Linked DNA regions of Nothobranchius furzeri. The protein of the gene in region 7 binds, or shares a complex with, the protein of the main gene of each other region. Links are inferred from orthologs where the notes say so. Each region holds a gene or a part of one and is shown on either strand. Other genes may lie near its edges. The genes, in order: ppih, prpf8, lsm8, lsm5, lsm6, prpf31 and prpf4.

Region 1 (3,926 bases), on a different chromosome or scaffold from region 7:
AGTATTAGAACAGCTGTCTTTCCTCCGTGTTGGTCTACTTTTGTGTGGCTTTTTCGGATAGTGAAGCACACACGACTCCTCCTACAGACGGTACACAAGGTTCTGTGCCACATTCATTGTACCTCGTAAATTACGACTTTTTGCCATCTAGTCATGGATTTGTTTTGAAAAATAAATAAAAAATACACGAGCACGCGCGCGCACACAAATCTTTATATTAACCTGTTAACATTTTTTGACATTTTGAAAACGAACCATGAAAAGAAATATGAAATAATTAATCAAAAGAACAAGTCGGAGATGTTATTTTGAAAATCTATTTAAAATATTACTCTGATGGCATACCCTGCCCTGCAAAAATAAATAGTTTTCAAGTCTATGAAGTAAAGATAAGTAATTTATACATTTATAGATCTAGATTCAAATACTGAACTTGAAGTTTTGCCATACATCATACAAAACATGTTTGAAGCATTTATATTAGTAAATCTCTATTATAATGAGTTGGAGAAAATTATAATTTTCTGAGCATAATTTAGCCACTAGGAACTATACATTACTCATCTTTCAGTGTATAATAAGATATTTCAAGTGTTTTTATGTTGGAAAATACTGGGTTTTTTTACTTGTCCAACACATCCAAAATTGACCTATTTCTATTTCTTGCGAATTTCCCAAGTCGTGTTTTCAATATTTGACTATTTTTATTTAGTGAAAAAATATGCAGCACAAGGTGGCGCTCTGGTAAAATCATTCTAGAGTGTTCATTCGTGTTCTCCTGGGTTCTCCTGTGCTCTCTTCTTCTAAAGAGGACAGTGGAGTCAAGACGTACATTGCATTTTATTTTGCTCAACTTAATTCTGTTTTTACTATTCACTGAGACTGTATTTTAATATTTAGTTATTTATTTCCAGCTGACCTTTAAATAAAATTTGAAACATTTTAAATTTGCATTTTTGAACTGCTAAACATCAGGAAAAGGTTGGATTTAAGTTATGTGAAATCCTAGTAATAACATAGCTATGGGAAACAAAAGATTTACACCAACATTAGCCAGGGTCTAAAGAAGAAATATATACAATGCATGTCTAGGTTTTTGTCCCTAGTTGCAATTCGTACCTTGTCTCTCGCGAGCCACCATAAGTTTCTTCTGCGCATGCTCTCTATTTTCAAATGGCTAGTATGTAATTTTTTTTGCCGATTTGTAATTTGAAATCTGTGCAAAAGCGGTCAAAACATATCGATGTCTGTTCAAGCGACAAACCCAAACAACCCCATCGTGTTCTTTGACATTACCATCGGAGGGCAGGTCAGTGGAACCCAAAAGTTCTTTTTATTTTACCGAAAACGTGCTGTCAACGTCACCGCGCTCAGTTACTCATCTCAACGCAAAGTCGCCTTTTGATTAAGTTTATGGGAGAGTAAGCAGAATTTTAGGTATTATGTTTAGTTTATTTGTTTCTTATAATAGTAAATCAGTGCTACGTTTAACGTTTTGTTTAAGTAGTGGATATTTATGTGCTTTGAAAGGCGCAGAGAAAACGTTTAACTTGAATAAAAACGAGATTGAGGTTCTTTTTATCTTCCATTTCAACATTCGACAATCAACACCAAGAAGATTTTATAGGTTTGAGAAAGTGGCTCTGCGTGTGCAAGTGCCACCAGTAAGAACTTGGTTGGCTCACCTGCTTTTTAAAGCATGCACCAGGACATTAACAAAACAGCAGATCTGTGTCGATGCTGAACATGTTCATTCAACATAGCAGACACTGCATGCAAATGGATACTTCTCATATACTTACAAAGTACCCCTGACCACTGATTATAAAGCAAAGTTTGAAATAATCGTATTAATAATTTCAAACTAATGTGAGTTATTTTCAATAATGAAAAATCACAAAACCGTTAAAAATGTGTGCAAAATTTTGCAGAATTTCAGGGCAAAGACATGTTTTCACTATTTTTTCTCTGTTAAACGTAGCATTAGGGCGGCGATGCAGTAGGTTGTCCTGTTGACTTTCAGAAAGAAGGCTGCTGGTTTGAATTCCAGCTGTGGCCTTTATGTGTAGAGCATGTTCTCGCTATTTCTGCGTCGGCTTTTCCTGGGCACTCCTGTTTCCTTTGATGGACCAAAACCATGCATGTTCGGTTCATTGGGGGCTCTAGTGGGCCATTCCCATTTGTACCAGGTCGGCCCGGGCCGGGTAGCCCCGGTCGGCCCCAGCCTGGCCCGGTTGATTCCACACATCCTTGCCTTAAGCCCATGTGGGCTGATTCTACCCACCAATCAGAGGCTTGCTCTAATGGAAGGTGTGAATTTGCTGTCAGCAGTGGGTGTGTTGGCCCTGGTCGGCCTGAAGCAAACCCCCTCGAGAAGAGGGCTGAGAATGAGCCTTGGTTGGCCCGGAAAAATACCAGGCCACCCAGATATGTAAACAACCTACCCTACCCGGCCCGGGCCGACCCGGTACAGATGGGAATGGCCCATAACTTGCTTCTGTGTGAGACTGGTTGTGTATTTCTGCATGGAGTGAGAACCCCTGCCTTTCGCTCGGTGACTGCTGGAGATGGACACCAGCTCCCCTGTAAACATACAGGGAAAAAATGGTTCTGAATATGATTGGGTTTGAAATGTAGCTTTAACTCTGTTGAAGTCGTGTTGCAGGATATGATTATGGAATCGGTAAAGTTTTTTATTACAATGACTTCATGTGGACATTTCCCCTCTCTTTGCTTCACTGCAGCTGAAGTCATCAAATGCTCTTCAGTACAAACCTAATCAGGAAACGGCATCTGATTTAGTTTAATTTGAAGAGGATGTTTCACTTCTAAAGCTACAACATGTAGCTGCTTGTCACTGGGAAACTTACACAAATGGCTGTAACTGATCTGAACCCAGAGCAGAAAGCCATAATTAGAAACAATTTGTTATATGTTCTGTAGCAGCCTTACCTTCAGCCTCGTTCAGACCAGGTGACTCCACCCTACTTGGCCAAACAAAATTTAACTTGCAGCAGAATCTCAAACATATGTAGATGTTTCACCTTCAATCTGTTAGAACACTTCTCATTATTCATTGTTAATCATAGTGGATTTCTGCTATAAGGATTTGTCCAGAAGGACTGAAGGTAGGGCTGGGCAATGAAACGATGGCAATAAATATTTCAAAACAACTTTTCCTCGATGGACATGTGAGAGTGGGAAGATAGAACTTCGGTATGAAGAGTAGAGACCCACAGCTCAGTAGCAGCCAGGCGGATGTGCTGCTAACCGCTCATGTTTGTGTATCTGTAGCCTCCTGCTTCAGGTAAAAGTAGAAAAATGAGAGCCCCAAATGGAAAAAAAGAGATGGACACTGTTAATTACGTCGTTGACAATAAAGGACCGAACAGTTCATTCGTGTGGACGTAGTTTGAATAATTCTTTTGCTGCGAAACTAATGACGTTGAGTGGATGATCTAAACAAAGTCTGTGAAACCACAGGAGCTCATGAGCCAGTGCGACCCGCTGGAACAGCAGGATGTAAAACTTGATAATAAGAACCCAAGTCTCCTCCCCTTCCAGTCAGCTCATGGGTCCCTGGAGCAAAGAAAAAATAACCCGCTTTGCCTTACGCCCTGAATCACAATTATGTCATGTAATTTCAGCTTTGTTTGCTTGTAAAAATTCGTAAATAAAATGACTACAAATCAGAAGTCGCATATATGACGTCCCGACAAAATCTTTTCTCCCCAGCGTAGCTGCTACTTATCAGATAGCCAGATTTATGGTGGTTTTCACGTTTCGTTTAATGCTCCTTCTTTGGTCCTGGAAGAAGGATTCTTTGCTAAACTGATCTCCCCCTCTTCTCTGTCTGGGTCAATTATATCAATTTAGTGGGACGAACGTTTGTAGTCCTATATGTATTTTTCCACACAAAACCTGAA
Region 2 (3,500 bases), on a different chromosome or scaffold from region 7:
ACCATCCTGGAAGTAGAAAACACACACTTCAGAGAGATACAACATCAGTGATTGGGTTAATTAGACCTGAATGCACCAGTGTCCGAACAGCGAGGGGCCAACTGCAGCTACAGCCAGCAGTAACAGAAACACCAAGAAATGATCACATCACACCAATCCTAAAATCTTTGCATTGGCTACCAGTAACTTACAGGATTGATTTTTAAAGTCCTTTTACTTGCTTTTAAATCATTAAATAGCCAAGGACCGCTGTATATAGCAGATGTTTGAAAAGTACTGCCCTTCTAAATCACTTAGGTCAGCAGAAAAATACCTATTGGTACAACCCAGAGCTCGCACCAAGCACGGAGAGTCTGCCTTTAGCTGCTATGTGGTCCGTCTCTGGAACCGTCTTCCATAAAGACATAAAAACCTCTCCCACCACTTCCATTTTTAAATCCAGATTAAAAACCAAACTTTTTTATGATGCCTTCCATTAACCTATCTGTGGTCTACTTGGTTTATTTTTTTTTTTAACCTGTGTTGTTAAATTTATTCTATGTTTTTGGTATTTATAACTAGTCTGTGCAGCTTTGTTCTTTTATAAGTTTTAGTAAAATTTTTACTTGGTATGCTTTTATTTTTGTGTACTATGTCCTGTATCAGTACTCCTTGGTTTTATTATGCATAACATGATGTGACATTTAAAGCTGTGATTGTTTTAACTATGTGAAGCACATTGGGCTACCGTTGAGTATGAAATGGGCTATATAATAAACTTGACCTGACCATTCATCTCATTCCTCTGGTTGTTACACACAGTCAAGCTGACCAATGCAAGTGTGCCTTTGTGAGAGGACTTCAAAATAAAAGCTTTGGTTTTGTTTTAGGTCATTTTACTGTTTCACGTTGCAGAACAACACGTAAATATAGAGTACAGATGAGATCTGTAACAAAATATAAAATCTGCTGTTACCTTCAGATAGTTGTGCTGCCTCTCCTGCTCAGCTTTCAGGTACAGACGGGTCAGTCTGCCCAGGTTCTTCTTGCACACAGTCTTGTCCACAGTGGCTCCACGGCGAATTCGCTCACGATTGTAGTGAGCCGTGTTTGTCCACCAGTCGGCTTTGGCCTTCACGTAACGCAGGATCATGTTCTCAATGGGAGTCGGGAGACCGGGCACCTGAAAGAGAGAAGAGCCCGTCTGTAATGCAAATGCGTGACTTTGAAATTATTTTTACTTTCCTGCAAGTCTTAAATTGGCTTTAGGTTTTCCTACATGTTGTACTACCAAAAACAAATTAATCATTCATTTAGAGGAACCACAACAAATACAGCCTGTTCAAAATGGAAAAGGTGGTTAAGTCTAAGGAAACTAAGAAACTTACCTTCCAAGGAATGTTTGCTTTCCAGCATCTCCAGGACTCACTCAGGTGCTGCAAGATGGTTCTGGCCTTGTTCTGTTTGATACCCTCAGGCATCATGTCCAGGATGTCGTGCATAACAGCAGCTCGCAGCTCCAGGTCAAAGTGGGACTCCACGCGCTGTTTGGTTACGGTCTTGGCCACGCCCTTTGAGTGACGTCCTGTTGAATCGACAAACAGAAAGCTCAGCGAGGCGGTTTAATCTCTCTCACCAACTACCTCTGAATGTGTGAACAAAATCACTCTGTGGTTAAAATAAAAACATGATGCTAAACCTTCAAACTGCCTGGCCAGCAGATTGCCGAGCCACCTCTCCAGCAGCGGAGTGATTCCTCTCATGAAGAAGAGCCACACTCTCCATCCCGGAGCCCAGAACCCACAACCTGGACCTTTGCCAACAGGACCCTGGCCAAAAACACATTTCTTTAAATTAACACCCAGAAATGATTTAAGTACAAACAACCCAAATACACATTTACATACTGTGTTGAAGCGGTAGTAGACAAGATGCTTCAAGTCTTTACACATCCGGATCTGCCTCATCAGCTTGTACTTGTAGCGGTACATCCCAGTCAGCTGTCCCACGTGGGCGAAGATGTACTGCAGCCCATCAGCCAACTACAACACAGAACCAATGCACAAGTTCATTCTTCTGTTAAGCCCCATTCCCACCTGTACCGGGTCGGCCTGGGCCGGTTAGCGTAGGTTGTTTACATATCTGGGTGGCCTGGAATTTTCCCGGGCCAACCAAGGCTCATTCTCGGCCCTCTTCCCGAGGGGTACTGCTTCAGGCCGACCAGGGCCAACACGACCACTGCTGACAGCAAATTCACACCTTCCATTAGAGCAAGCCTCTGATTGGTGGGTAGAATCAGCCCATTCACACCTTCCATTAGAGCAAGCCTCTGATTGGTGGGTAGAATCAGCCCACATGGGCTTAAGACAAGGATGTGTGGAATCAACCGGGCCAGGCTGGGGCCGACTGGGGCTACCCGGCCCGGGCCGACCCGGTACAGATGGGAATGGCCCATTAGATACTCCAAGTACATTTGGACATTGGCAAAGTAAACCTCAGAGGAACTTTACACTAACCATCCACAAAATGTTACTTGCATTTGTAGATCTTGAAACAAAAGCTAAATAAATGATAACCAACCTGGAAGGCATCAACATTCCCCAGTCTGTACTGAACGTGGCTGTCCACCACCAGCTTGCTGAGACGCAGAACTTCTCTGCACAGGTGGAAGGCGTTTCCAAACCTGGACTTCTTTCGCTCCTGAAGGACAACGACAAAAATGCTTTTTAAAACAGATGGAAAAATAAATATTTGAACCAAAATAGATGTTGGAATTCAACAAGAAAAAAAGATTTAAAACTTTTTTACACATTTAAGTAATTTCTTTCATTCTTTTGCAGAAACAAGATCAAGCGAGTGTCTCCACCAGGGCGCTTGTACCTTGGTGGTCAGGGTCTTGACAGGCTTCAGGTTAAAGTTGTAGTCCAGATGCAGGTAGTTGAGGTTCTTACGGTGAATTAGCAGATTGAGCATGTTGTAGCCCTGTCTGCACACCTGCAGGCCGACCTCCACCCAATCCAGCTTGGTGGACTGGAAGAACTTTGTAGCTTTGAAGGAGCGGAACAGATACCTGTATGAAGAAAGAGGCAGGGACTTCATCAAATAATACGACCAATGAGGAGAGAAAGCTTTAAATTAGAGCAAATGAACAGGAAATAAAAATGAAATCCAGTGAAGGTCACCTCTTCTTCTGAGCCTTGGGTGGTCTGTGTTTGAGAGCGTTGAGGACATAATACTTCAGTAGTTTTTGGTATGAAACACGCACTTTAACTGGCTGTCCTGCAGGGCAATGCTCTCGGTACCTGTAAAGACATATTACTTTTATTTTACAACTGCACAAAAATAAATAAATACAATTCTTACTCTTCAAATGACGGCTGTCCGCTCACCAGTTTTTGACCAGAGGGATATCGATGGCACGTCTCGTGCGGCCAGAGCGGAGGTTGAAGGGCCTTGGAGCCCAAAGTAGAGCGATGCCATTGGCTGTGTTGTCAGTGTAGAGAGGCGTCTCTTTGAGGAAG
Region 3 (4,049 bases), on a different chromosome or scaffold from region 7:
CTGCCCTACTTTACCTCTACATTACAGTTCCTTTATCCATGTCCATCCTAGAGATCCTCTCTGACCTTCATGCTTATTTAGAGCAGCTGATTTTTAAAGCTAGCAGAGTTCATCCTTGGCAGTGGGTTCACTCACTCATTTAACCCTTCACCACTGAAATCAGTTTGTTCATTTCAATCCTCCTAAATAATCCTCCAATCATCCAACTGGAATCCTTAAGGGTCCCGTAACATCCATCCTGTCAGAACAGGCCTTGGGAGCCCAGGTGTTACTAGAACTAACGGTGTCTCCTCACCAGCGTGAGCCTCCAAACATGAACTTTAAATTCATGCATTTATCTCCTCTTGTAACACTTTAACATGTTTTAAAAGGCTTGTATCATGATAAGTTACACCTCCCAGACCAAAGATAAGATAAAACATTATCATAAACACTGCAGAGACGTCATTATTTATGAAATATATGTTATTTTCCTGAGCCGTTACTTCACCCAAGATATGAGATGCATGGATTTGATGAAACCACGCTGTCTCATGCAGTCCTATATGTGTAACACACACACACACACACACACACGCACGCCATGACTAATTTAACTACATTGAATTGCTTTAGTAATAATTTAATCTCTAATTCTGGAGTAAAATAAAGAAACAAGCTAAATCATCACATATCTGTGGCATCAAGGAGCAACTTCTGAGTTCAAACACAGGGATGGAGCACAATGTTTACACCTGAACAGTATCATGATGTTTTAACTCACAGAGGCCTGCAGCTCTTCTGTTTATGAGCAAAGCGCTGATAATCCGCTTGTTATGAGCACTAAACAGTATTTTGCCGCTGCCGTGCGGAGCGGTAGGGAAACACATTTCAAACACGGAACCGAGTCTCGCTACCGAACCGAGCAGAATTCTGATGATGTCACACTGGTGCGCGAAGGTGCAGGTTCCAACCACAGGAGAGGAGGGAGAGAGGTGATAAACAGCGAGTTGATCGACTGAACTGATGATGTCTTTGAGCAAAAGTGTACACCCCCACACACCCCCGGTTTAGATGCGGTCCTCATGCAGGTGTCTCTTTCCGTTCTGACGCTGCTTCACGTAATATTTTTAATTTATTAAGCCTATAATTTATTTTTACTCAGTAACGGATATGATTTAAAATGTAGCGAATTACAATTCTTTTTAAAAAACTTACTCAAGTAAAAGTACAGATTTTAAAAATGACTTAAAAAGTATAAATATACAAAAAAGCTACTCAATTACAGTAACGTGAGTAAATGTAATTCATTACTTTCCACCTCTGTCGGATGCTCGAGCATCAGGAAGCAGAAAAGGAAAGACAATAGAAAATGTTTAAAGGGAGGAAAACGTAGACCAAAATGAAAAATAAATTTAAAAAAGGCAAAAGCTCAGGAGCACTGACAGGAAGAAGAAAGCAGAGCAAATATTGGAGGCACTCAAAGGGAGAGAAAGACATGAATAAAGAGGAGGACTAATAAAAAGGGAAAATAACTCATGGCAGAAGAGGGGAGAGTTTTGTAAATCCAATTAAAAGTAAGATTGCCGAAATTTATTTTAAGGGGGCCCCATGTCTGTGCTCGCCTTGGGCCCCAAATTGCTAAATGCGCCACTGATAGGGCTATAGTGTGTTTCATTTCTGTACCCAATATTTTGTCTTTAGGGTTGTAGCTCTGACATCACCTACTCACACGTTTAAACAACTTTCCAGATCAATGTTTGATGATAACATTTGGAGGAATTTGAATAAAAAAAACGTCACCGCTCGACCCTCCGCGCCCCTTCCTGCGCGATGATTCGGCGTATGATTAGTCTTGACTTGTCTCCGGTGTTTTGGTGCGGTGCGGTTTGATGCTCTTTCCGTTTTATTTTTTTACACAGCGGCGCAAATAGACAACCGTTGGAGGGATTTACCGATTTTTCTGCTGGACAGATAGAGACCGAGTCCGGGACGAAGCATGTCCACCGCGCTGGAGAGCTACATCAACCGTATCTTGCTGCTAGCATGCTAACTGCATGCTTAAGAAGTGCTAGTTAGCTTAGCGCGCTAGCTTCGATGTTTATGTAATTTGTTGTTGTTTAGGTGGAGTTTAGAGACGGTAAAAGCTAAAGCGACAAAAAAACTACTCATTTTTATTTAGAACTGAATGAACATACCTGGAATAACTTTTACGTAGCAGTTCAATTTCAAATCAGTGTTTGCATAAAAAAAAATCACTGATAGAATTTTATATGATCAGATGGCGTCAAAACGTAGATATTAACGGTTCTGATCTGCGTTAGTTCGGTTTCACGGGTTGTGAATAAAATATATTTAGTTTGTTTCTGATTTAAGATGTCGGGTTATTTAACTGAAGCACACCCATCGTTGTTGTTCGGGTGAAAACGGAGAAGCTAGACGTAATTTACTGATGAGTTGTGCACAGATGATGTTTCCTTGACTCCAGCTGATCCAGGAACTGTTGCCATCGTCACCTCAGACGGGAGGATGATCGTGGTGAGTTCACGTTTTCAGCTCAGCTGGACAGCAGAGAAGATGATACGGTTCTGGTGTTTAGATGTTTGAGGCTCCAGCACAAGGATTTCCCCTCCACCTGAACCGAAGCCTCATTTAAACCGGTGTCGGTCACAGGGGATTTAGTTTTTCCCTCGACTGTAAATCCAGAAATCTAGTCCTGTTCCCATCACTACAGATGCTGACAGACACGTTTTTACTTTTATGGTCAGATTTTTACTGTTTTGGGGCATAAAACTGCAGATAACTGAAAATCATTTTGAAATAAAAGTTCAAGTGTAATCTGAACTATTAGTATTTTATTAGCCTGGTTGTTTTAAGTATGATTCATTGTAGCTCAACACCACCAGCGTGTTGATGAATAATAATATTAAGTTGCTTTGGAATCCTCTGACTGAAAGGTGCTGTACTTATTTATTTATATTTATTTATTTATCATTTGGGTGTTCAGGGCACTTTGAAGGGCTTTGATCAGACCATCAACCTGATCCTGGATGAGAGCCACGAGCGCGTGTTCAGCTCCAACCAGGGGGTGGAGCAGGTGGTGCTGGGCCTCTACATCGTTAGAGGAGACAACGTGTGAGTCACCTCGGTCAAACTAAAACTAAATGAGAAATGATGACCCCTAAGGACGTCCCGGTGCACGGGGAGCTCGGCTGCTCCTCGGACAGCTTCTAACCGTTTCTCGTGTTTCTGCTCCAGCGCCGTGATCGGGGAGATTGATGAGGAGACCGACTCCACGCTGGATTTAGGGAACATCAGAGCTGAGCCGCTCAACTCTGTTGTACACTGACCTTTGAACCCTGCTGTCTCCATGGCAACCCATCACAGTACAGCTCAGTTCTGTTGCTGTCGTGTTCTGGGAGGCGTGATGAGTGGTGAAGCTGCAGAACCTCGATTGTTCTGTTTCTGTTTGTATTTTTTATAAATAACATGTTGGATTTGTTTTCTACTTCATGTTTTTGTCAGTCTGAGATCATTTTAATAAAGTCTGATTTGTTAAGCTGTTTATAATGAAGTCCTCCGGTCTCTAAACATCCAGACTCTGGAGCAGAACAAGAAAACAACACATAAACAATGAAACTTTAATAAAATATGTGGAAAAACAAGATCGTTGCCAAAGAAACATTAAATAGCGCCAACTCTACGGCTTTGTTCAAACAGCTCATGGTCTCTATTTTAGTTCTGATATCTTTAGTCATGAATGAGTAATTATTTCTCCATCTGGAAGAAGAATGAGGATCTGTCCTGTTCTCATTTGTCTAGCATCGATTAATCGGGGCTGCCTATGGACAATCGTTAGCATTGACTGCCGATGCTCGCTTGGATTAGAGGCGATTGAATCCACTTGAGAATCGTTCGTGGAGCCGGGAGAGGAGGGGAGCGCTTTGTCAAGCAGGAATTTATCAGGAGAGCCCCGATGTTCAAGGTTCAAGGTTGTCTTTATTAATCCCCAAGGGGGAAATTGAATTGCCTTGGACAAGTAAACACAACATGCACATCCACACAATAAA
Region 4 (3,755 bases), on a different chromosome or scaffold from region 7:
AAGGAGGATCACTGTTTCCAGATCTTAAAAGATCCATTAGAGCCGCTCAGACCAAACGCTTCAGGGACGCGTTCACTACCTAACCGTGTGTTTCCTGTTGCTTTCATCAGACAAGAAAGCAGCAAGGCACCAAGTTCATGTTAGCACGTTTACACACACCTGAGCTCTGAGTGTGTTACTCAGGTAAAAAGCATCCAGATCTGGTTTTGTGGGAGAAAAGTGGTTTGCCTGCAGGCTGAGCTAAAGGGAGGTGTGGCTGCTGTGATGTCACAAGAAAGCCTCTTTTTTATGTTTGTATGAATAAAATATTTGTTCTGAAAATATGCACTACTTTAGGACTTGGGTTTAATCATGCCACCAAATAAAAGGAAGTTTTGCTTCAGAGTCAGTTAGAAAATACCAAAATGCAAGTTACTGAAAGGAAAATAACGAATTTCACATTTTTGAGAGGAACTGAGATATTTCTGATGCAGTTTTTAAAGCTTGTAGCATCTTTGATTATTGTTGTTTCTTCCTATTCTGCCCATCACCGTTACTGAACATTAGATAATCAATTAGTATGGAGATCCAACCGGATGTGGGATCAGGTGAGCAGCTGCTGGAAACAACTGGAAAATTATCTGAGGTGGCAGCCAGAAGAGATGTTATATAACTCCGCACAAACAGCTAGAAATCAAAGACGGTTAAAATTAATATTTCCATCTGCATCAAATCCATCTCACCTGCAGTGAGCTGGACCATAACCCTCCATTCTAATGTTTTAGTAGGAATGCACCTTTATACCAGAGCTAGCCACAGTTAGCATGAAGCAGGTTCGTACCTGACAGCCTTTTTTATGGTGAAATCCAACAACCACGATGTGTAGCACCGGCCCCTTCCCTTCAGTTTCGCTGCCGTGAGACTCCATTTTCCCTCAGTCTTCTGTTCTGGAGGTCCGGTGGCGTTTGTGAACTCAGGGGGTTCGGATGTAAACACAGCGAACGGAGCCTAGTTTGAGCCCCGAATCTTTCCCACGCACACACACTCACGCGCGCGCGCACACACACACACACAGCGCTGCAGCTAGATTTCAACAAGATGTTTCCCTGTTCCTCACTTCCGTGTTTGCGTTACCGATTCTGTCAGATCCATCGGGGTCAGAGCACGGATTAGCTGTTAGCATTAGCTTTTAAATGAAAAACTGGTTCAAGTCGCATTTACACAATTTATAACAACCTGTTTCCAATGAATCTACTGACATATTTTCTTGCGAATATCTGATTTTGATCAAATCCTAAAATCAGTCAAGCATAACTTAACCAGAAACAGGAAGTAAACAAATAAACTCTCCATGCTGCAAAATCCATACTTAAGTCTTATACTCAAATATTTTTGCCTCTAAAGTGATTGTTGTTTTGGATGTTTTATTTATTATTTTTTGTGGGGGAATTTAAGTATATTTTTTTATCTATAGCATTCCAAAGTAAATCAGAGTTTGTCTATTCTTGCCTGAATTCGATTTGCTCTTGATTCGATTGGTTGTGACTGCTGCAGTCACACGAAGAAAGTCATGGCGGCTACTCAAGCGACAAACCCGTCACAATTGCTCCCTCTGGGTTCGTAAAATCTAATTTTGTTCCGTTCTTGCTTCAGATAGTTTCGCCTTTAGATACATTTCAATAAGAACCGAACAAGCAGTTCTAATTTAGTGAGTAGCAAACAGAAGTGAGCCGTTTTAGCGGTAAAATCACGCCGGTGTTACGTACAGATCTTTTCACCGAAGTAAACCGTGTCCCCGCTTCCTGACAAGATTTCTAGTCACAGGATTGTGTTCCTCCTGCTAAAATATATTATCTGTGGTGTACGGATTTAATTGTCAGTATGTGTAATTTGTGAAGTAAGCAGTTGCATGTATTTGATAAATTTAGGAACTCGTGGGGGTTATGCTTAGTTCAGCCATCTTTATTGCTTGCATTAATTTACTAATAAAAGTCAAATAAGGAACATTTTACCATTTAAAACATATTATAGCTTAAAGAAAAAGTTTTAAAGAAAACCCCCGGAGATTCTGGTTTAGATGGGGGACACATCTCGATGCAACACCAGCAGGTTTTAGCTAGCTGCAGATAAAGCAATAATTTCGTGTTCAAGCGTGAGTTTTTACCTAATTTATTTTAACAGAGGAGTATTTGTGGCAGTCTAAAAACTAAAAGAAGTGATTGTGTCCTATTTTACAGCAGTTATGACCTGAAAAAGTCAAACCAGCTCGGGTGCCTTAATGAGGATGGCGTGCTGATTGTACACCTGTCCGTGTCTGAACATGAGCAAAAGCTGAGCTGCAGCAGTCATAATAATACTCCTGAACTTATTGTGTTATTTAAATTCAAAGTAGTCACACCCGTGAACAACTTTCGTTGACAACTGACAAGAAAATTCATTTCGTCCATCGACATATATTCAGTTAGATTTAGTCATATTCTTCTGCCACCTACTGGCCAATTAGTGTATGTGCAGTACAAACCTCAACAGTATTTCCCTTAAGAAAAAATGATTTTTAGTAGTTGGTCCTGATTGGTTTTAGATGCTAAACATCACATTAGTTATTTAGAAAATTGTTAAAATCAAACTGAAAACTGTAGAAAATAACCTAACCTGTTATATTTTCAGAGCTTGTGGACAAATGTATCGGCTCTCGAATTCACATCGTCATGAAAACCGACAAAGAAATCGTCGGCACCCTGCTGGGGTTCGATGACTTTGTCAGTATCCTTCCTTAAAAGCTGCTGATCAGCTGTAGTGCGTGATTCAGAGGTGACATGTTCAGATTTGGTCCTCAACTGTGTGTTTCAGACATGGTGCTGGAGGATGTGACAGAATTGTAAGTGTACGTTGTTTTATTAACCGGTGTCTGCCTCATTCATCCTGCTCATCTCCTGGTGTTTCTTCCAGCGAGATCACACCAGAAGGACGGAGAATAACCAAACTGGATCAGATCCTCCTCAATGGAAACAACATCACCATGGTAGGACACAAACGGCTTCGGTCTCTCTCAAACATCACTCAGCTGGATGATTCATGTCGGGTTCATTTCTCCTGCAGCTCATTCCTGGAGGAGAAGGACCAGAAGTGTAAATCCTGTTTTGTGTCTTTTGTTTATTCTCTCCAGGTTTTTGGAGCATATTTTTGTAACATTCTTTGTTCAGTTTTTAGTAAAAGAAGCAGGTCTCACGTGGGAATTAAGATGTCTTTGTTGCAAATAAATCTGTTTGAAAAACATCCTTGTTTCATTTATTTATCATAAAAAGTAAATTTAGTGCAAACATTGGGACAAAATGAAGTGTTACCATCAGAAACCAGTGATAAAATCCAGCATCCAGTCTTTGTTGGACTGTAAAGCTAAATGAGAAGTTTCACTTTTGACTCATGAACAAAAAACGTGGAACCGATCTAGAGCTGAAACAACTAATCGACTTAATCGATTATAATCGATTATTAAAATAGTTAACAACTTTTTTAGTCATCGATTAGTTGTTTAATAATCATATTTTACCGCATAAAGTCTATTTTTTACCACAATCAGACATCGGTTACAAGCTGTTAAATTTGCCGCCAGTGTGTGGCAGTAATGAGCCACTGATCTACCAGTGGAGCCGTAGAAGAAGAAATGAGCCAATGGGTGCCCTCGGTTTTCATGACGTATCACGTTACTGACGCTCATCTTGCTGTGAGAGATGGCGGAACAAGAGGAAATACGGAAGAAAAATAGAAGCGACAAA
Region 5 (4,296 bases), on a different chromosome or scaffold from region 7:
AGACACTTTTTCTGCACGTGCTGCAAACAGGATAGCCGTCTTCTATAAACTGTCCCTCGGCATTCTTCAAATATTCAAAAAATGCCCGTACTTCCCACTTTGTTTTCTTTGAGGTATAATAAATGTCCTGCGCGCTGCCGTTTCCTCCTTTGGCCATTATTTCAGCTTTAGCTTCAAGAAAGTTTTGGTTGTAAACAACAAAGTGCGCATGTGCCGCTGGCAACTTCAACAGATGATACGGTGGCTGGTAAGGGTCACCGCGCCTACACCGCAGCCACGGTAAACCACCGAGATAATATAGTTTTTTTAAAAACGGACGGTTATTATTATTGTCAACTTTTTTTTATTTTACCGGGGTTTACTGCTACACCGGTTACCGTGACAACCCTACCTGATCGGTCTGCTTTGATCCATTTTGAAAACTCCGATCAAAACCGATAGGGGCGCTATCGGCCAGTTGGGATCAAATGCCGATCCATCGGTGCATCCCTAGTAGTCAGTCGCAGCTGTATCTGCTCAGTCTAGAGAGGCACCACAAAAATCACACAGGTATCAAAATATTCCCTAACCCTACTTATTAACCCTATTAATGTAGAAGTTTACACTTCCAAAATATTCTATTTAATATTTAAATTCAAACAGCATATTATATTTAAAAATCACCCAAAATTAGTATCACTTTGAGGCAACACAAATCAGTTTCTGCCATCAGAAGCTAAATCAGTACATTTCTAATGTAACATAATGAATTAATTAACAAACGATGCTGTAAAATAGTAGCATTTTACCAGTTTTTTCAAAGCAGCAACAAAGGGGCTCGATGTTTTCATCGGAAGTGAGCTTCCTGTATAACTCCGACATGGTTAGTTTCCCAACTTTAAAAGGGAATATCTTGTGGTTTTCCTATAAAGATAGGTTTGAGGTGCAAAAATGCTTAATGAGAAAATGAAAATAAACATCTTGTGGTGCATGACTTTGAAAGTTTCATTTAAAAATTGTCAACAAATTTAAATCTCTAATCACTTTGGATTGAAAAAAAAAACCTAAACAACTGAAAGATCTATTAGAGCACACAGTGTAATAATGTTGTCTCTGTGAGCTAATAAGAATGAGGCTAGGAAGTTGACTGCACCAAAGACTCAGATCATGGCAAATGTACAGCCTTCATAACCTGGAATGTTTAATCATTAAATATGACTTGGAGCTATAGTAACAGAGGAAAACGGTGTTGTATAACGCCCTGCAGCGTGAAAACATCAAATCTTACCATTATTTCCTCTCAAAAAGGCATCTCCATACTTGTTTTTGAGTTGTCCATTGACATACTCCTCCGTCTGCTCTATTGCGATGTTCATGTAACCATCCAGACAGGCCAAAACACCTGCTCAGAGACAAACACAAACTTCAGATTAAAAATAAACTTACCTGGGCAATAAAACAACAACAGACCTGAACGTGCCAGCTAGGGAAGAGGGGCATACTGTTTTTTATGCATTTTGATGCAAACATAAACCATTACAAATTCATTCAAAAATTATCAAAACAGATTTTAATAATGATCATTATTTAGGTGAGTGTAAAAGGCAGACATCTGAAGTGCAGAAGTGTGGCACATTATGGTGTGCAACTGGGATGGAGTTTGAGTCTTGACTGAAGAAATAAATACATCAAATACTGAAAAACTGAACATTTTAAACTGTAACAAAGATGTCTGAGTAGGAGTGTTGTGTCAAAAAGTGTTCCTCCTCCATGTATCTGTGTAACCTGTGTGAATCTCTCTTTAGCTTGGTAAATGAATTAATATCAACACAAACACAAATAGTTTGTTGAAGATTAAAGCAAAATTTGGTCCTCACGAAACTTTTCAAGTTTATTCCAATTACTCAGCATTTAACTGGAGTTTAACTGCAGTAATTTAACTGTTTTTCAGTTAGTGTTTGTTTCATAGTTTCTAATCCTATATGGGATTACATCATTCAACTTCCTGTCTGCCTGTATAAAGAACTTAACTGTAATGAATTAAAAGATCATTAAAAATTAAAAGTAGTTGTCAGGGGGTCATTGTCTAGAACTAAACATGAGGCAGAAGGCGTAAAAAGATGCATCAATGACTGCTTAACAAACCCTCTGATTCATAACCTAATCAAACTCTGAGAACCCTAAACATTCCCACACCTGATGCCAGCTGCATTACCTCTGTAATCAACACCAGAGTTCAGTTTGACCACGACAGGTCTCCCAATTATCTGCTTCAGAAAGTCACTCGGGGTCTGCTTTCTCAAACTCATTTTCGCTTTTATCTAAAAGAATAAAACAGATGAGTAAATCTCATTTTATCACAATAAAGAACCGCATTAGCATTACCCTAATACACATTTAAGCTATAATTGATTATCTAGTAACAAAGGCATTATTCAAACCCGAGAATATTAAAACGAATAGCTGTAGCCAGATAGTACACGCCTAAATGCAAAACTATGTACGGTTAAAACGTTCAAATTATCAAATGAGCTTCTATGTAGCTAGCGAGCTAAGTGCTAACTACCAGCTATTCCGTGGGTCAGTTCGTTAGCCTCTAATAGCGTAGGAGATTGTTTAACAATAAAGTACAATGTACAGGTATTGTTACATCATAACAGATCCTAATAAGATAGGAAATAGATGTTTTACTAGTTTTACAGATGCGAACACCGAGCTAGCAAGTTACTCACTGGATGAACGATCTCACAACGATTTTATGTTCGGCGCATTGACCAATCACATTGGAGGACTACGGAAACTATGTAGGGACAAATGTCCTGAAAGCGCAAAGTTTTAATTCGATAGACAAAACAAGAATATTTAAAAGTACATTTTAAAAATACGATATACCCATTTCCTTTAACAAGTTATTTTCTATAAATGTATTTCTAATATGTTGTAATTAATATTATATCCACTGGCTTTCATATTATAATATACTAAAGTTTTTTTGTTTTGTTGTGCATTGTTATACTTTGAATAAACTGAAGCATTAGTAATATTTCTATTATGTAACAAATTCATACAGAAAATGAGAAACTACTGTAAATATGTAAAAACATAATATTTCATGTGAATGTCTCATTGTATTATTTTACTATTCTTTTTACAAATTCAAAATTTATCTCAATGTAATGTGGGATATGCACAAATAAGCCTATTCCAATTTCAGGTACATTTTCTTTCTTCTTGATCTGTAAGTGTTCAAACGTTTAAAAGAAAGAAAGAAAGAAAGAAAGAAAGAAAGAAAGAAAGAAAGAAAGAAAGAAAGAAAGAAAGAAAGAAAACAATCTTTTCTGTAGCTCCTCTCAAGACAAAAATCTCAAGGCACTTCACAAAAATATAAAATATAAAAAAGGTTTCAAAAAATGATTTAAAATATGTTCAAAATAAGCAAAAATAGACAATTGTGATTAAAAAGGCAAAGAGAGAGAGAGAAAGAAAGAGAGAGAGAGAGAGAGAGAGAGAGGGAGACAGAGAGAGAGAGAGGGAGAGGGAGAGGGGGAGACAGAGAGAGAGAGAGAGAGAGAGAGAGGGAGGGAGAGGGGGAGACAGAGAGAGAGAGAGAGAGAGAGAGAGAGAGAGAGAGAGAGAGAGAGAGAGAGAGAGAGAGAGAGAGAGAGAGAGAGAGAGAGAGTGAACAGGAAAGAGGGAAATCAGTGAATCTTGGGGAAATGGGAAAATGTGCACAGTATGTACAGTCTATGATGTGCACTTAAAAAAGACATCTTTTCATTCTTATAAACACATCACTTGTAAGTCGCTTTGGACAAAAGCGTCTGCTAAATACATAAACATAAACATAAACATGTGCCTGGTGAAATATTTTCTTATTATAACAAACATTTGTTAACATCACAAAAACTATTGAACCAATGGAAAACTTTTTTGTAGTTGTGAAGAAGTCTATGAATAAAGTGTATGAAAACAAATAATTCTTTTAATTATTCTAACGAGTAACCAACTTCGGGTTTGTAAAAAATATTATAGACACACACACACACACATATATATATATATATATATATATATATAAACCTTGGATGCTGGGAGCACGACCCAAACACTGCACAGCTTGGGAGGTACATGAGAAATGGTGTATGGGGGCAAACAAGGATGAAATAGTGGGGAGAAAAACAGAAGAGCATAGAGGGCGTGAGGATGTGCCAGTACGTGTTAGTGGAGACAGAAAGGTTGAGAGAGAAAGTAAGAGAGAAACAAAAAGAGAGAGACAGAGGGGGGATTGTGAAAGGTGGAATCATAAAGTACTTCTTG
Region 6 (2,473 bases), on a different chromosome or scaffold from region 7:
AGAGGAAAAGGCGGAGAGGAAATGGAGGACACTAAGTGGTTAAAAGAAAAACTACGAGGCGCGCCTCGACCAGAGCGGAGAAACAAGCGGCTGGTCTGAACTGAGGAGCAGTGAGCTGCGGCCGAATTTCGTGAGCGCTTCGGCGGCCGGTTTGTCCCCAGCCTAAAACTGTCAGTGTTGTGCCGTTGTCAGGTAAAAACTCTGCACTGCATTTGAATTTAAATCTGCCATCGCTATTGGCTAAGAGGTACCCTAGAACGTTAGCTGGTACCATAGTGTCGTTGTGAGCCTGTGTGTGTGTGTTTCCTAGCGGCTCCGCCCTCTCGCTCTGCTAGGAAACAGCATTTGTTGCATTTTTCAAACAGGAAGTGGGAGTTGAGTAATACTCTGGTAGGGGGTGACTTGCTCTTTAACTACTCAACTTTATTCTTTCAAAAGTGACTTTGATCTGGGGTTCTTTAAGCATCCTAAATGTTTTTATACTTGTATCTCTTAAATGAGTCGTTCTCTCATTGTTTCTTTAACTCTGCTGTGGTCTCAAGTGTGAATTAATGCTTGTGGTAATAAAAAGTTCTGGCGCTCCCGTTTCGTGAGGTAGAAGTTTGTTGGGAGGAAAGGAGGCAGAAAATAGCGGGAATTCTATCTTGCTCATTAATATTAATGATGTTCAAACATCTCGCCTTTTGATTGGCTAACAGCAACATGACGTTTCTACTGAAACTTCAACGTTGATGTTTTATCTCCACAAATAACACAAGCCTGGAGGAGTTCTGCTGTGTGGTGAAGTTGTTAATGCTAACAGTTAGCGTCCCCTAGCTGAGACGTTCTCTGCTGTTTCCTTGACGCTAAACCAACAACAGCCCTCCCCGTTGCGAGTTAAGATGACTCCATGAATGTTGAGCAACGGTGTGACGTTGATCTGTCAGGAATTTTCTAATCTGAGCATTTCCCCGTTAGCATTAGTGACCTCACAACATGGCAGAACACGATCAGACTTATTTGTGGGAGTAAGACATCATCGTTAACGAGGAAGACTTTGAATCTCGTCATTTTCCATCCCTCACTCCTCGGGCTAACTTCTTCCTGAAACGGTAGCGCCAAGAGCTGAAAACGACTCGCAAAGCATTCGTCTCTAGAGAGCACAACATATGTATTAAAACCAGTTTATGCTAACTTTAGTTAGCTGGCTATTTACAGAGAATTTTAGTTCCCTCAAACAGCAACTTGTGCGGTCTCTTCTGGGAGGTTGAACATCATGGACAACAGCCCCGAGTCATTCTGCCCCCCCTCACCTCCGACCCCTTTAGGACTTTAAAGCTTATTTGACCGTAAGGATTTGAGCTCGTTGATGTTGCAGATTGAAGATGACGCCTATCAGGAGGATCTGGGCTTCAGTCTGGGTCAGCTGGGCAAGAGCGGCAGCGGCAGAGTCCGGCAGGCTCAAGTCAACGAGGCCACCAAGGCTAGGATCTCCAAGTCGCTGCAGGTAAACTCGGTCGTTATTTTAATCTCCACCTCCAGATTATTGATAGTCCATGATCTGAACCTTGTTCTCTGTTGTCAACCACAACAGAGGACGTTACAGAAGCAGAGCATGACCTATGGCGGAAAATCCACAGTGAGAGACCGTTCCTCGGGAACCAGCTCCAGCGTCGCTTTCACTCCGCTCCAGGTATGAACCGGATGATCAGTGGAAGAGTTCTCTACTTTCTGCTTTTCATTCATTCATTCATTCATTCATCTGCAGGGCCTGGAGATTGTGAACCCGCAGGCTGCAGAGAAGAAGGTGGCTGAAGCCAACCAGAAATATTTCTCCAACATGGCGGAGTTCCTCAAAGTCAAAAAGGATGCTAAGATGTGAACGTGTTCAGTGATGACATCATCATGTACATTAAATTAGCCCCTATTGTGCTTCGCTTTTATTTTATTTTTTTACCATTTTCTTCATGTGAATAAACCACAGAAACCCCAAAGCGTGTGCCACCTTTAGAACCTTACGCCTGAACTTTGACCTGTTAGGTTTAACCACCTTGTAAGCAGAGCGAATCCCCCTGGGAGCAGCGAGACCTTACACCACCACACACCCATGTGTAATTTCTTAAAAGTATTTATTGAAATTTTACAACTGTTTCATAATCCCATTTTATAACATCTCCCATGCAGAACTGTGATGAGAAAACGGTTGAAATTCACATTTTTGCGACTTCTTAGCTGACCTTCCTCTCTGAAAACCTTAAAAGCCCCAAAAATATAATGTATTAAAGGCAGATCTCAGAACTTTGCATCTTCTTTTTCCCCCCTTCAACACCTCCTCCTTAAAATAAAATCAAAAATTGATCCGAAACATGAGTTTAACATCATCCAGATCTGCAGTTCTTTTTTCCTCTATTACACTTAAAAATGGAAAAGTTGGATTTTTGTTTAACACTCCGCCCGTTCGGACCACCGAGGAAAGTCTGGAAACACGACCCCA
Region 7 (3,949 bases):
CAAGATTTTGTAGTCAGCCCTGAATTTTATCAGCAGCTCAGAACTACATGATGGACAGCAGCAGCTCAGGAGTAGAGCGGGTTGTCCACTAACCCGAAGGTGGCAATTTCGATCCCAGCTTCAGACAGAGAATGCTGCCGTGGTGTCCTTGGGCAAGACCTTTACCTGCTGGTGGTGGTCGGAGGGACCGGTGGCACCAGTGCTTGACAGCCTTGGCCGTCAGTGTGCCCCAGGGCAGCTGTAGCTACATCGTAGCTCATCTCCACCAGCGTGTGAATGGATGAATGATGCACTGTAGTGTAAGGCGCTTTGGAGTCCTCAGGCTCTGAAAGGTGCTACACAAGCGTGGGTCGTTTATCATTCATTTACATGTTTCACTGATCACGCTTCTCACTGCTCAGGTCACTAACAAGCCCTCCAGATGCTTTATCATCTCACTGCAAAGAAAGCATCCAGTAATTCGTCCTAATGTTGGTTCTGCCACTGCTGACAAACCTCCACCTTCACCAGCAGGTGGCACCACCGTGCATTGTGTAGGACCTACTGATAATTCAAGTTAGAAAAATTCACCCAACATCAGAAAACCAGTTTTTCTTAACCTAAAAGGTTTACCAAGCCGGGCACAAGAGTATCGATCAGCTGTGACGATTTGGCGCCACTAGGTTTAGGGTCCTACTGTGGAGGAGATTAAAAATTCACCTAATTAAAGACACATTTATCAAAAAATGTTAGGAGAGCAGGGCAAGTTGATTTATGTGGCAGACCTACAAGAGTTAGCCTGTAGGGGGGGAAAACCGCGTCTAACCCCGCAAGGAAGCCCCGCATGGATGGGGAAAACACGCAACTCTATGAGTTTCGAACCTGCAACCTTCCGGTTAAGGGGGGGCTCTGGGCTCCTGTGCCACCGTCACCCCATCAACGTAAAAGCGTCGCAAGCAGAGGTTTTAAATAACGCAGGTGTTGCGGGTTGACTCCACACAGCGTTATGTTCCAGAACATCCGAAGTTGTTGAGGCGGAAAAGTCGAATCTGTGAACATCATGTCAACTTTACTTCCGTCCACCCGAACCCGTTTGTGTGACGAACCCAGGTGACTTTACCTGACGCACCGAGACTCTCCTTCGTCCTGATCGTCAGCTGTTTGGTTATCTGGCTAACAGGTAGATTGGTTAATTACCCATAAGTCCACGGATCCACCAACCGGAAAAAGAAGCTTTGACCCGGAAGCCAACAGTTTCATATCCGGGTTGCAGTGCTAGGAGACGTTGCGGCTTCGTCTGTTTTTACGGTAAGTTTGAACAACAAAACAAACGAAGCTTTAAAACAGAGAAACACGCTTATGGTCCAAACAGCAGGTGCGCGTGCTCGGCTAGACACGCGTGTCCGTGAGCCGTTAGCTCCGAGTCACGTGCGAACATCAGAACGCTTCTATGGTTTCGTCGTGCGGTCCGTGTGTGTTCTGCACAGCTACGGTTACAGCACCAGTTCACTACTGGTGTGGGTTGCAGCACCAGTTCACTACTGGTGTGGGTTGCAGCACCAGTTCACTACTAACTCACTCATAACATCTATGATAGCTTCCAGGCAGTCAGGTTTTCGTAGAGCTCGTTCTACTGAAACCAGGGCCGTGCAGAGACCTTTGACGGGGCGGGGCTCAAAGTAAAAAAAAAAAAAAAAAAAGGGGGCACTTTTAGATCAATCCAACAAGTTAAAAAAATCTGATAATGAGACCCTTGGGTTCAAACAACATAATAAAAATTTATCAATTAGTGTTAATGTTAGTTAATAAATAATGAACTAACCCTAACCCACCATTGCGTGGGCGATGGTGGCACAGGAGTTAAGATCTCGCCCCGTAATCGGAAGGTTGCAGGTTCGAGCCCCGCTCAGTCTGTCGCTGTCGTTGTGTCCTTGGGCAAGACACTTAACCCACGTTGCCTGCTGGTGGTGGTCGGAGGGACCGGTGGCGCCTGTGCTCAGCAGCCTCGCCTCCGTCAGTGCGCCCCAGGGCAGCTGTGGCTACATCGTAGCTCATCCCCACCAGTGTGTGAATGTGTGTGTGAATGGGTGAATGACTGATTGTGTTGTAAAGCGCCTTGGGGGGTTGCAGGACTCAGAAGGCGCTATATCAAATACAGGCCATTTACCATTAATAGTTTGTCACTGGAGAAACAAGTTATTCAGTTCTTTGGAAGTAAGGGCATTTCTATTGACAGCACCACTATAGCTGCATGCTACACAATTCCTAAAAAAACTGGAAAAAAAAAACAAAACAATAATTCAGTTTGTGAGCAGGAAACATAAAGTTGACTTGTTAAAGGTCGTAAAGAAGCTTAAGGGCACAGGAGTGTATGTAAATGAGCACCTGACAAAGAAGAATGCAGAGATTGCCTGGCAAGCAAGAATTCTGAAGAAGGAGAGGAAAATACAGGATACCTGGATAAGGAACTGTAAAGTAATGATCAAGCTTACTGGACCACCAGAACAGGCTATGGTGGTGAGCATCAAGAGCCTCTCTGAACTGGAAAAACTCAAATGATGAGAAGAAGATGGTATTTAATTCATGGACACAGCAGACTACAAGAAATCAGGAAATAATAGATTTTTTTTTAGGTTTGTCAGTGATGTAGATCATAAAATCTAAAAAAAATATCAAATCTGATAGATAATGGAGTTGACTCAGAAATTAATGGTTGCAGCAACACCCACCTGGACTGTGAATATTATATTGTAGAGGACTTCAAAGTGAGTATGTGTGGATTTTCATTAATACACTTTAACAGCAGAAGTCTCTACAACAATTTATCTAAGATCTCAGATTACCTAAATGAGTTCAAGGAGAAACTTACAGTAGTTGCAATTTCAGATACCTGGATCAAAGATGGAAAAGAGTTATTGAATAAACTGGATGGCTATGAAATGTTTACTCAGAGCAGACAAAACAAAGAGGGGGTGGGGTAGCACTTTTTGTTAGGACTGGTTTTGATTGTACGAAACTAACAAATATGACCTTCATTGTTGAGAATTTGATGGAGTGTCTGACAATTGAAATTAAGTGTAAAAAATCCAGAAACATCATTATAAGTTGTATGTATCGTAGTCCTGGTTCTTCTATAGATCAGTTTAATGAACGTATTGAAACATTATTTGGGCAATGTAGGAACAAAATTGCTTTAATTTGTGGTGATTATAATACTGATATGTTTAAATCAGATGATAATACTAAAATAGCTGAATTTATCAATTTAATGTTTAGTTTAGGTTTCCTTCCGTTGATACTGAGACCAAGCAGGATAACAGCCGTAGTATTACACCGATTGATAATATATTCATAAATCAATCTGACGTCAAGACAAAGAATGGCCTTTTTTAACTGATATTACTGATCATTTACTGGTGTTTACTGTGGTGGAAATGATGAGAAGTGATGAAACATCTCTGGAAAATGTAAATTATACCACAACTAGAAAAAAAACTTCTGTTGCAATTGAAGCTCTGAAATATGAACTGTTTTGCTCTGATTGGACTGATGTTTATGTTGATGATGTTAATAATTCTTATACAGGTGCTGGCCAGTAAATTAGAATATCATCAAAAGGTTGAAAATATTTCAGTAATTCCATTCAAAACGTGAAACTTGTACATTATATTCATGCAATGCACACAGACCAATGTATTTCCGATGTTTATTACGTTTAATTTTGATATTTATAGGTGACAACCAATGAAAACATCAAATCTGGTATCTCAGAAAATTAGAATATTCTAAAGGCCAATGAAAAAATGTTTGTTTCTCTAATGTTGGCCAACTGAAAAGAATGAACATGAAAAGAATGTGCATGTATAGCACTCAATACTTAGTCGGGGCTCCTTTTGCCTCAATAACTGCAGTAATGCGGCGTGGCATGGACTCGATCAGTCTGTGGCACTGCTCAGGTGTTATGAGAGCC

The links.
Region 1: the proteins of prpf4 (region 7) and ppih are in contact, whole or in part, in a crystal structure (PDB 1MZW), measured with the Homo sapiens proteins. The link is inferred for Nothobranchius furzeri from reciprocal best matches to the Homo sapiens genes PRPF4 and PPIH. Residues at the interface, in NP_004688.2 of Homo sapiens: Arg113, Gly116, Glu117, Pro118, Ile119, Thr120, Leu121, Phe122, Gly123, Glu124; in NP_006338.1 of Homo sapiens: Phe14, Arg26, Phe46, Cys47, Thr48, Gly49, Pro57, Ile58, Gly59, Tyr60, Lys61, Gln173, Cys174, Gly175, Glu176, Met177.
Region 2: prpf4 (region 7) and prpf8 share a complex: the UniProt entries of both Homo sapiens proteins name them as parts of the U4/U6-U5 tri-snRNP complex. The link is inferred for Nothobranchius furzeri from reciprocal best matches to the Homo sapiens genes PRPF4 and PRPF8.
Region 3: prpf4 (region 7) and lsm8 share a complex: the UniProt entries of both Homo sapiens proteins name them as parts of the precatalytic spliceosome. The link is inferred for Nothobranchius furzeri from reciprocal best matches to the Homo sapiens genes PRPF4 and LSM8.
Region 4: prpf4 (region 7) and lsm5 share a complex: the UniProt entries of both Homo sapiens proteins name them as parts of the precatalytic spliceosome. The link is inferred for Nothobranchius furzeri from reciprocal best matches to the Homo sapiens genes PRPF4 and LSM5.
Region 5: prpf4 (region 7) and lsm6 share a complex: the UniProt entries of both Homo sapiens proteins name them as parts of the precatalytic spliceosome. The link is inferred for Nothobranchius furzeri from reciprocal best matches to the Homo sapiens genes PRPF4 and LSM6.
Region 6: prpf4 (region 7) and prpf31 share a complex: the UniProt entries of both Homo sapiens proteins name them as parts of the U4/U6-U5 tri-snRNP complex. The link is inferred for Nothobranchius furzeri from reciprocal best matches to the Homo sapiens genes PRPF4 and PRPF31.

What each region holds. Positions count from the first base shown.
Region 1 is NC_091755.1:32,545,059-32,548,984, reverse strand, and holds the start of ppih (peptidyl-prolyl cis-trans isomerase H), read left to right. Parts: upstream 1-1,126; 5' UTR 1,127-1,243; coding exon 1,244-1,309; intron 1,310-3,926. UniProt on the Homo sapiens protein: PPIase that catalyzes the cis-trans isomerization of proline imidic peptide bonds in oligopeptides and may therefore assist protein folding. Participates in pre-mRNA splicing.
Region 2 is NC_091753.1:37,704,106-37,707,605, forward strand, and holds part of prpf8 (pre-mRNA-processing-splicing factor 8), read right to left. Parts: coding exon 3,369-3,500; intron 3,282-3,368; coding exon 3,162-3,281; intron 3,050-3,161; coding exon 2,860-3,049; intron 2,680-2,859; coding exon 2,560-2,679; intron 2,022-2,559; coding exon 1,887-2,021; intron 1,809-1,886; coding exon 1,679-1,808; intron 1,565-1,678; coding exon 1,368-1,564; intron 1,163-1,367; coding exon 956-1,162; intron 7-955; coding exon 1-6. UniProt on the Homo sapiens protein: Plays a role in pre-mRNA splicing as core component of precatalytic, catalytic and postcatalytic spliceosomal complexes, both of the predominant U2-type spliceosome and the minor U12-type spliceosome.
Region 3 is NC_091741.1:34,219,555-34,223,603, reverse strand, and holds lsm8 (LSM8 homolog, U6 small nuclear RNA associated), read left to right. Parts: upstream 1-1,353; 5' UTR 1,354-1,978; coding exon 1,979-2,009; intron 2,010-2,476; coding exon 2,477-2,517; intron 2,518-2,986; coding exon 2,987-3,114; intron 3,115-3,237; coding exon 3,238-3,328; 3' UTR 3,329-3,549; downstream 3,550-4,049. UniProt on the Homo sapiens protein: Plays a role in pre-mRNA splicing as component of the U4/U6-U5 tri-snRNP complex that is involved in spliceosome assembly, and as component of the precatalytic spliceosome (spliceosome B complex).
Region 4 is NC_091747.1:62,679,445-62,683,199, forward strand, and holds lsm5 (U6 snRNA-associated Sm-like protein LSm5), read left to right. Parts: upstream 1-1,471; 5' UTR 1,472-1,549; coding exon 1,550-1,595; intron 1,596-2,646; coding exon 2,647-2,742; intron 2,743-2,829; coding exon 2,830-2,857; intron 2,858-2,928; coding exon 2,929-3,001; intron 3,002-3,078; coding exon 3,079-3,111; 3' UTR 3,112-3,255; downstream 3,256-3,755. Other genes in the region: late secretory pathway protein AVL9 homolog, read right to left, coding at 821-907. UniProt on the Homo sapiens protein: Plays a role in pre-mRNA splicing as component of the U4/U6-U5 tri-snRNP complex that is involved in spliceosome assembly, and as component of the precatalytic spliceosome (spliceosome B complex).
Region 5 is NC_091744.1:10,586,904-10,591,199, forward strand, and holds the start of lsm6 (U6 snRNA-associated Sm-like protein LSm6), read right to left. Parts: upstream 2,801-4,296; 5' UTR 2,712-2,800; exon of another isoform or gene 2,671-2,711; intron 2,651-2,670; exon of another isoform or gene 2,546-2,650; intron 2,301-2,545; 5' UTR 2,289-2,300; coding exon 2,195-2,288; intron 1,382-2,194; coding exon 1,268-1,381; intron 904-1,267; exon of another isoform or gene 789-903; intron 1-788. UniProt on the Homo sapiens protein: Plays a role in pre-mRNA splicing as component of the U4/U6-U5 tri-snRNP complex that is involved in spliceosome assembly, and as component of the precatalytic spliceosome (spliceosome B complex).
Region 6 is NC_091745.1:76,602,936-76,605,408, reverse strand, and holds the end of prpf31 (U4/U6 small nuclear ribonucleoprotein Prp31), read left to right. Parts: intron 1-1,357; coding exon 1,358-1,486; intron 1,487-1,573; coding exon 1,574-1,672; intron 1,673-1,747; coding exon 1,748-1,861; 3' UTR 1,862-1,973; downstream 1,974-2,473. UniProt on the Homo sapiens protein: Involved in pre-mRNA splicing as component of the spliceosome. Required for the assembly of the U4/U5/U6 tri-snRNP complex, one of the building blocks of the spliceosome.
Region 7 is NC_091746.1:69,563,499-69,567,447, reverse strand, and holds the start of prpf4 (U4/U6 small nuclear ribonucleoprotein Prp4), read left to right. Parts: upstream 1-1,149; 5' UTR 1,150-1,287; intron 1,288-3,949. UniProt on the Homo sapiens protein: Plays a role in pre-mRNA splicing as component of the U4/U6-U5 tri-snRNP complex that is involved in spliceosome assembly, and as component of the precatalytic spliceosome (spliceosome B complex).